2 linked regions of the Oryctolagus cuniculus genome follow. The protein of the gene in region 1 interacts with the protein of each later gene in a biochemical or structural test. Links are inferred from orthologs where the notes say so. Each region holds a gene or a part of one and is shown on either strand. Other genes may lie near its edges.

Evidence for each region.
Region 2: the proteins of NHLRC1 (region 1) and EPM2A form a complex in vitro, tested with the Homo sapiens proteins (3 studies listed by BioGRID, with this or other methods). The link is inferred for Oryctolagus cuniculus from reciprocal best matches to the Homo sapiens genes NHLRC1 and EPM2A.

What each region holds. Positions count from the first base shown.
Region 1 is NC_091436.1:145,322,309-145,326,492, forward strand, and holds the start of NHLRC1 (E3 ubiquitin-protein ligase NHLRC1), read right to left. Parts: upstream 2,851-4,184; 5' UTR 2,792-2,850; coding exon 1,622-2,791; 3' UTR 1-1,621. UniProt on the Homo sapiens protein: E3 ubiquitin-protein ligase. Together with the phosphatase EPM2A/laforin, appears to be involved in the clearance of toxic polyglucosan and protein aggregates via multiple pathways.
Region 2 is NC_091436.1:22,624,596-22,628,910, forward strand, and holds the start of EPM2A (laforin), read left to right. Parts: upstream 1-1,492; 5' UTR 1,493-4,315. UniProt on the Homo sapiens protein: Plays an important role in preventing glycogen hyperphosphorylation and the formation of insoluble aggregates, via its activity as glycogen phosphatase, and by promoting the ubiquitination of proteins involved in glycogen metabolism via its interaction with the E3 ubiquitin ligase NHLRC1/malin.

The DNA.
Region 1 (4,184 bases):
GAACCCACCCCTAGGTATGGAGGGCCAACTAACTAGTTACAGATGCTGTCATTGCTAATTCCAAAGAGAATATCTCTTGAACTGACTCAACTGACCCTGAGACTCTGTAATATCAGTGTTCCTAAGGAAAATGTTTTAAGATCAATTCTTGGTTGTCCTATCAAATCTGAACTTACATCTCCAGCTTTTCCTCAGAGTATCTGTGATGCCATCAACCTAAGGGTAACTTCACAGGGGTGTGTGTAGGATTGATCTGCCCCTGAAACTCCTCCTTGGAATACATTCACAAACGGTGGGCCAACGTGGCTGACGTCTTACCATTAGTAATACATGACAGGAACACTGAAGGCAAAATGGGCTTTTGGGACTGGCATGGGAGCATGCTCTCACTTTTAGCTCCAAAAGACAGAATTACAATCTTTGGAACATACATGACTCATAATTTGGAAACTGTCTCTAGCATGTACATAGCTATTAAAACTCCGTATAAACGGAATATTGCTTTGTTGAGAATCATCAGCTTTCACCTAGAGCAAACTCTCACTGAGAAATGATTCCCTCCCTGAGAAACCACTTCTGCTGCTGTTGAGGTGCTGGTTCTTTGCTACTATTCGTCTAGCCCTAAACTCTAAGATGTTTGCGCTAGCTAAAAACACACACCCTAGAAAGAACCCGCCTCTTCCCTTGCAATTTCCACCCATTCATTTACTCAGTCTCAACATTAAGCTGGTATTAGCTTGGTCAAGGCTACACTTCAACTGAAGAAGTATTTAAGTGTTTACCAGGGGCCTAAAAGGATTAGGGGAACTGTTCATTGAGTACACAATGTTTGCAAGGCAGAGATGAAATTTAAATTGCACAGAGAAAAGCCCCCATTGCAACGTGCTTCCGATGCCCACTGATGATAAAATGGCCAGCAAATCACTTCTGCCATGAACCTATCGTGGTGAACGAGAGAACGGGAGTTTCGGCCCACCCTCTGGCACTGTCTCCACCAACACAAGCCTTTCTCAACCAGACAACAGTGCGTTTCCTGAGTGCCTACAGGGGAGAGACAGGCACTAAAAGACACGGTCTGCTGTTTTTCCTGCTCACATACCTCTATTCCGTCAGAGGGACTGCAAGTTGACACGCTGATGCCCATCACAAAATCCTTTTTCTCCTGAACTCTACAAAGTCTCCTTTCTTTGTGCATCTAACTACTTAGCTACTTGTAGAGCAAACACGCTTAGCAACCATATCTACTCACATCTATTATTTAAGAGCAAGGGGTTTTGAAACCAGGATTGAGGCCAAACTCTGACTGTCCCCTAGGTAACTGTGACCTTGGGGAAGTCATTTAAGCTCTCTGGGTCTCAGTTTTCTCATCTCTGAGATAGGATGAGTTTTAGACATTACCTCACCGGGCATCCCGGATTAAATGATCCAATAGTCACAAATTTCTCAGCACTGGGGAGTAAGCATTCAATAAATGGTAGATTTAATTACTCCTTATAATTGCCCCCAACTTTTCTGAGCCTGCCAGGCAGTTACAATTTTCCCTGCGTGCCTGGATGAGAAGAGGGGACTTATGCAGGGTTAGGCAGATCACTCGCGGCAGCTCCGGGATCCCGACACCCCCTCAGCCCCAGTCAGCTTTATAAACGTTGACAGAGTGGGATGCAGAGTCCAGCACGAGAAGCGAATTCTCCTTGGTGAAGGCCAGCGCCACGGGGTGGCCAAGCCCGTGACTGATCATGGGCTTCACGACTGGGAACTCCTCGGGTTTTCCTAGGCACAGGACAGCGGGACCAGAGGTCTCTGTGACGACCACATTCCCCTGGTGATCAAAGGTCACGGCCGAGGCGACTATCCGGGGAGGGTGGAAGAGGCTCAGCCCAAAGGTGTCCACCTGGCTGAGGAGCTGCATCCTGGAACTGAACACCTTCACCCTGGCGCTGCCGGCCAGCCGCTCCAGCACGGCCACGGCCCCGGTGAGCCAGGACACGGCCACCCCGCGAGGGCTGCACAGAGACGCCTGCAAGAGCTGCGATCCGCGGAGGAGCCCCTCGGCAAAGTCGATTTGCAGGAGGTGCAGGGACCCTGCCTCGGCGTCAGTGACCAGGACGCCGTTCTGCGGGGTGGTCTCCACGCCCCAGGGCAAGGAGAACTGGCCCCCGAGCACCAGCTTGATCTGGCCAAAAAAGTCGAACACTTTGATGGCGCGGTCGCCGGCGTCGGTGACAACCACGTAGCAGTCGTTGGTGACGGTGACATCCAAGGGGTACTTGACATCCTGGGCAGCGTCCCCTTTCTCCCCAAACTGATGCGCGCACCCTCCCGCGGAGTCAAAGATCTTGACCCGCCTCTTGCCGTCGTGCACTACCACGACCCGCCCCGTCTTGGGGCACAGCGCCAGCCCGGTGGGGTTGACCAGCGTCCCCCAGCCCCCGAAGGCTTGGTGGCAGCTGAGGGCCCCTGGCGCACTGGGGCCGGCGCGCTGGGCAGCTGGCGACGGGCGCAGCGCGGAGCCCAGCAGCTCCAGCAAGTGCAGCACCGGCAGGCAGTCGCTCGTGTCGCAGCCGCGGCAGGCTCGCCGGCAGAAGGGGCACTCGAGGGCCAGCGTCCGCGGGTGCGCCAGCGCGGCCACGCAGGCCAGGCAGACCACGTGGCCACAGGGCAGGTTGCGCGGCCGCCGCTGCTGACGGTGGCCGAACCTCTCAAAGCACACCTTGCACTCCAGCAGGCTGGTCTCGGCTTCGCGCACCAGCTCCCGCAGCGCCGGCCGGGCCTCCGCGGCCTCGGCCCCCATGGCGCGGCTCGACGCGTTCCCGCCGCGCCGGACGCTGTCCCCGCGCCGCCCACGGTCACGACCACGGGGCGGGGCCTCCGCCCTGACGTCGCGCGCGGCGGCGCCGTAGGCCGCGGCCTGCTGCCCCCTGGTGGGCGCTCTCGGCCCTGTTTCCTGACTGCCTGGCCTGGTGCGGCAGGACACACACTGCAGGACGAACGGGCTGCTCCCTATTGCGAAACCTTTAATAAGTGCAAAGCAAAGACCGGCACGCAGGGTTTCAACGCTGGTGCCCAGCAGTGTTTCCAACCCGCGGCTCTGGGTTCTGGGTGCTGGGGCTGGCCGGTCTGAGTCACGTTAGTCTGTCTCTTGTCTGATGAGCATCTCCCTGCTCAAGACGCTTTGTTTTCTGAGTAGGGAAACAGACACACAACAGAAGTTGCCCAGGGGGTGAGGAGGGTCAGACAGGTGTGCATACTCCCTTTGTGTGAGTGTGTGCCTGTGGGTGTGTACTAGGATAATACAACAACCCCACTGGGTGAATGATGTCAGTTGGGAGAACCTCTTCCAGGGGAGTTAATGTGAAACCAGAAAGCTGCTCTCATCAGCGATGCCTGCTGCAGAACTTGTTCCATGCCTGCCCTCCTTGAAGTGGCTTCAGTGGATCATCTTATTTAAATCTCGTCATCATCCTCCGTGATGGAGTCCAGAGACATTAAATATCTTGTCCAGGTTGGCATGGCTAGGAAGTGGCTGGGCTGGAATATGAAGCCAGGTAGTACACAGAACCCACCGTGCATTTCAAACTTGATTGCAAACGGTAGGGGTTTAATTGGTCTGGGTGTAGTCTGGGCAAACATTGGTTTGTAAAAGCTCCTGAAGCTGTTGTGGGCATTTGGGGAAGATTCCCCACCCTCACCACTGCCTTTCAGATAAATAAATTTCCAAATCTCTCTCTCTCTCTCTCTATATATATATATATATATATTCAGGGCACTAAAAATGTAATATTTTGAAAAGTAGTGTGATCTAAAAACTATGAGGCAGTAGATGATGGCTCAAGTTGGCTGAAAATGGGTGTCTGCCTCCCACATGGGAGACCCAGATTGGTTCTTGGCTCCTGGCTTAAGCCTGGCCTGGCCCTGATTATTATGGGCATTTAGAGAGTGAACCAACAGATGGGAGATCTCTGTCTCTTTACTTTTCAAATAAAATGAATAAAAATTTTTTGAAAGTAAAATAAATTATATATATTAAACTGTGAATAGTAAAGAGTAAAAAGATGAAATTGACTTAGCTGAACATTTTACTTAACCCAAATATTATCACTTTAACACATAATCACTATAAAAATATTAAGATATTTTTCCTTTTTGTTGCTCTATACTAAGTAAAGCCCAATGTATATTTGACA
Region 2 (4,315 bases), about 120 Mb from region 1:
TTGAGCCAGATAGTGCACCCGGATACTCAAAATGTGGGATGCAGGCATCTCAACGGGCATCTTAACTGCTAGGCCAAAGCCCACCCTTACTTTTGCTCTAAATGTAACATACCTACCATACCTACAATGGTTAGGAAAAATAAGTAAAGAAAATTCAAGGTCTTAGAAAGTGTTGGTCAAGGTTGCCCCTATCCGCATTCTCTATTCTCTACTAAGTGTGGATGACCTAGCTCTATTTAAGCTCTTTTTTTTTTTTTTTTTTTTCTCCAAACTCTTGGGAGTTTCAAATCACTCCTTGCAGCCAGCACTCCTTTATTACTAAGGGTTGAGGTATCAGGACTTCTACCATTTTTGAAAAAAGGTATTAACTATCCAACCATTCAAGTTAGTCCCAGACCCAGGAGGATCTTTTTACTTCTGAAAGAAGCTCTAAACTGGTGTCTCTGACCTGGAGGTCCTTTCATTTGCCTTGGCCCTCTAGTTTCTGTAGGTAAAGTCAATTTATGTTACTGCTTAAGAAAACAAAGGCTTGAATGATCTGTTGAGAATTTCTCCACTGAGATGTAAGGAGAATAGGTGTGGATCTTACAATGATGGGCATTGGAAGTATGATGGAAAGACAAGTCAATTCTTTTGAAAGGGCATATGCTTATCTATAATTTCATATCTGGAACATTTAAACGTTATTTTAATAGCATAAATTCAATGACAGAAGTGTGGCTAAACAGGCTATTGGGGATATACCGAAGAGGCACTACTTCTCTATGGTGGGATGAGCGGGATGTGGAATCATTGGAATCTACTGGAGATAGATTTGTATATGTAACAAGAAGGGACATGAATTTTTTAAATAGTTGAGAAATGCTGTGGGATTTTGGACAAAGACTTAGGACAGCTTGTGTCCTATTTCTTTAGATTCCCAGCAAGGTTTCAATTTTCCAGCCCAGAAAAATGTTATCTATAACATGCAAAAGTCTCTCAGTTGTACTGAAACTTTTTCTGGAAGGTTTTTGTTTGTTTTAAGCTGCAAAATGAAAAATAATAAATGTGACAATTGAATTCTTAAATCTGTTTTGTTAAGTGGTAAACTAATACTTACAATAGTCTCTGAACCATTTGGATAAAATGTGGATTACATCAGTGAGCGTGTATCTACATACACAATAATATAAGGGAAGATTTATGACAACTCAGGAGCTAGTGAAAGATTGCTTCAGAAAACATAAATCAGCAAAGATTCAAGCCATAGCTTTTCCTAAGGGGGCTTTGAAAGAATTTACATTTGAATTGGATCCTAAAACTCTAAGTTTAAATTTATCACACATTCTTCAAGAAATACTGTAGTTATATAGAAGACAGCACTATAGAAATGAAATGAAATGATACAAGTTTTCTTTGGTCTTTTAAAAATTACTGTCAGAATTGTTATTCTATTGAGATGATTTTTACTCAGCTCATCCCCATAGCATCAAGTATCAGAACTCAGATAAATTATACAAGTAATTCTTTTTAATAATTACCATAATATTTTTGTAATATAAAAAGAAATATCAAATGAAGAACCCAACAAGGAAAAAGATATGGGAATAACATACTTTTTTAACTGGTAAATTTCTTCATCTTGGCCTTTCTTTCTTTCTTTCTTCTTCTTCTTCTTTTTTTTTTTTTTTTTTGACAGGCAGAGTGGACAGTGAGAGAGAGAGACAGAGAGAAAGGTCTTCCTTTGCCATTGGTTCACCCTCCAATGGCCTCCGCGGCCGGCGTGCTGCAGCCGGCGCACTGCGCTGATCCGAAGCCAGGAGCCAGATGCTTTTCCTGGTCTCCCATGCAGGTGTAGGGCCCAAGCACTTGTGCCATCCTCCACTGCCCTCCCTGGCCACAGCAGAGAGCTGGACTGGAAGAGGGGCAACCGGGACAGAATCCTGGGCCTCAACCGGAGTAGAATCTGGTGTGCCGGTGCCGCAGGCGGAGGATTAGCCTATTGAGCTGTGGCGCCAGCCCATCTTGGCTTTTCCATCTGTTTCTGTTGCCTATAGGATTTGTGTATAACAGCATAAAAATTACAATTTCCTACGGCACGAGATCAAATAACCTCTAAATATCAATATATTTATGCCTTTATAGATTCCTCATGATTCACCTGACCATCATTCCTAAGCATAAAATCAGTTACAGGAAATAATTACACGTAGTTCACTTTTTATTAAGAGCTGATAGAGTATAACATTTAAATATGCTGGGACTTAAATGCATTATGTATATTACATATACACAATGAATCACATATCTTTTAATATGCATTAACAGGATACACAGGATATTATTATAGGATAAACAGATACCTTTTAGAACCTGGCTCTTTTCCTTCCTTGCTGTGAGATGTTTACTGAACCTAATGTGCCTCCTTCTCTTCACATCTAGAAGGGGAATAATAATTATAGTTACCTCATAGGATTGGTAAGATAATTAAATGAGATAACATGAATATGAAAACCATGTGTCTGGCACACAGGAAGGGCTCAATTGCAATCATTAAGGCTTATGTTTCCAAATGATTGATGGTCAAAGTGCAATTGAGGTTTTTAAATATGTCTTTTACCCCATATTCTTTCTATTTCCATCTTACTTGGTGCACAACATAGTTATCAAACTTGTACCCTGTTAAGCTTTTGCCATAAAATAAGTTTTAGCTTATCTTGTTTAGGGGTTCAAAGGGTGCTTATTGTAATGGTTAAAATTATTCAATCTCTTTATGAAGACAGAAAAGTAAATAATATCTGAGGTGGATGTTTGGTCTGGTTTTTAAGATGCCACAGATGCAGGCAGCAGAGTAGAATGTGAAAGTTCTAAACTGTTAGCTCCCAGGTCCTTAAGAAATAAGATCAATTAAAGTCTGAATTCCATTGTGGACAAGAAGTATTCTTGGCCAGATGAGTATTATTTTCCTAAAATTATTCTAAAAATATTTTATTACAGTCGTTTGAATAAACTGACTCACATGCCATTGTGAGTTAATGTCTGTTTTGCTACTGAATCAGCCCTAGTTGGCCAGCCTTGCTGCCTTCACATTTTTCTTGATGTTTATCCTTAAGCTTAGCAACCAACCAAACTTTGAGTGAAGTACCAATGTTTAAAGAGTGAAGCGTATTATTAATTTACTAACGGTCCCACAGAGACTGAGTTTGTGCAGTTTACAATTTTTGTACTTCTATTTTATTATGAATGCCTGAGATTTTGGCTTTTTCGTTACTATTCACAAGCTTCCAAACACTGGCAAAAATGGGTCTGTGTGTGCTTTTAATTCACTTAAGAGATCTGTGTTATGTTAAATGTTGGTGACTACACAAATTTTAAGAACATGAGAAAAACTTCATTAAAAAATGTAACAAAATGTAAACAGGATATTTAGCTTATGTCAGTGACAGACTGAAGTATCCTCTTCCCCCAAAGACGTCAGTACAGTATTTTTCTTCTGGTCAATTAGTTATAAACTTGTTTCTTGACTCGAAAATTTTTTAAGTTTAAAAAAATAGTAACCTAGACTAAATTTAAACAAATGGTCTTATTTTTACGCTGTTTCAAAAAAATCATGGAAAGTATACATTAAAATCTCTGAATTATAGTTTTTTTTTTTAGACTTGAAGGGGACTTGGAAGTATTTACTTCAAACACATTGAGAACGCGTTGAATTCACACTGAAAACAAAACACAAATACAGTGTTTTTCAAGGGAGAAAGTGATTATCTTATCAGGCGTCGGACTGCAGAGCAAGGGCAAGGCATAAAACGATCTTTTCTCAGCTCATGGTCTTGCGCTCATTCGTTGCAGAACCCTCAGAGGTGGCAGGTCTTCAGACAGGACGATTCGCTTACACCTGCAGATCACAAAGCACCCGGGATCCAGAGGGAAGAAGTGACTTGGCTAAGACCCGAGGCCGCTACCCAGAGGCCATTCCATTCTTCATGACTCTCCTAGAGATCATTTCCAGGCTCCTGTCCAGATGACTGGACAATCGCGCGGCTTAGGCTTCGTCTCCCTGTTTCCAAGCCTCGTTTTCTCGTCCCTGCTGCCGTCCGAGCAGGCGTTCTAGGTAGGCGCCCACGAGCAGAACCCGGTGGTGCTGCAACAGGCCGCCCCAGAGGCAGGCACAGGCCTAGATGCGGCCCGGGCTCCGGCGCCGCGTGATAAAGCCCAAAATAGGTGCAGACCCACACGTGTCCCCGCCGGCGCCCGGGCCTCCGCTCCAACGCCCAATCGCTGCGGCCGCCTGGCGCTCGGGCCGCGTGGGCCGGCGCTCGGAGACCCGTCCCGGGAG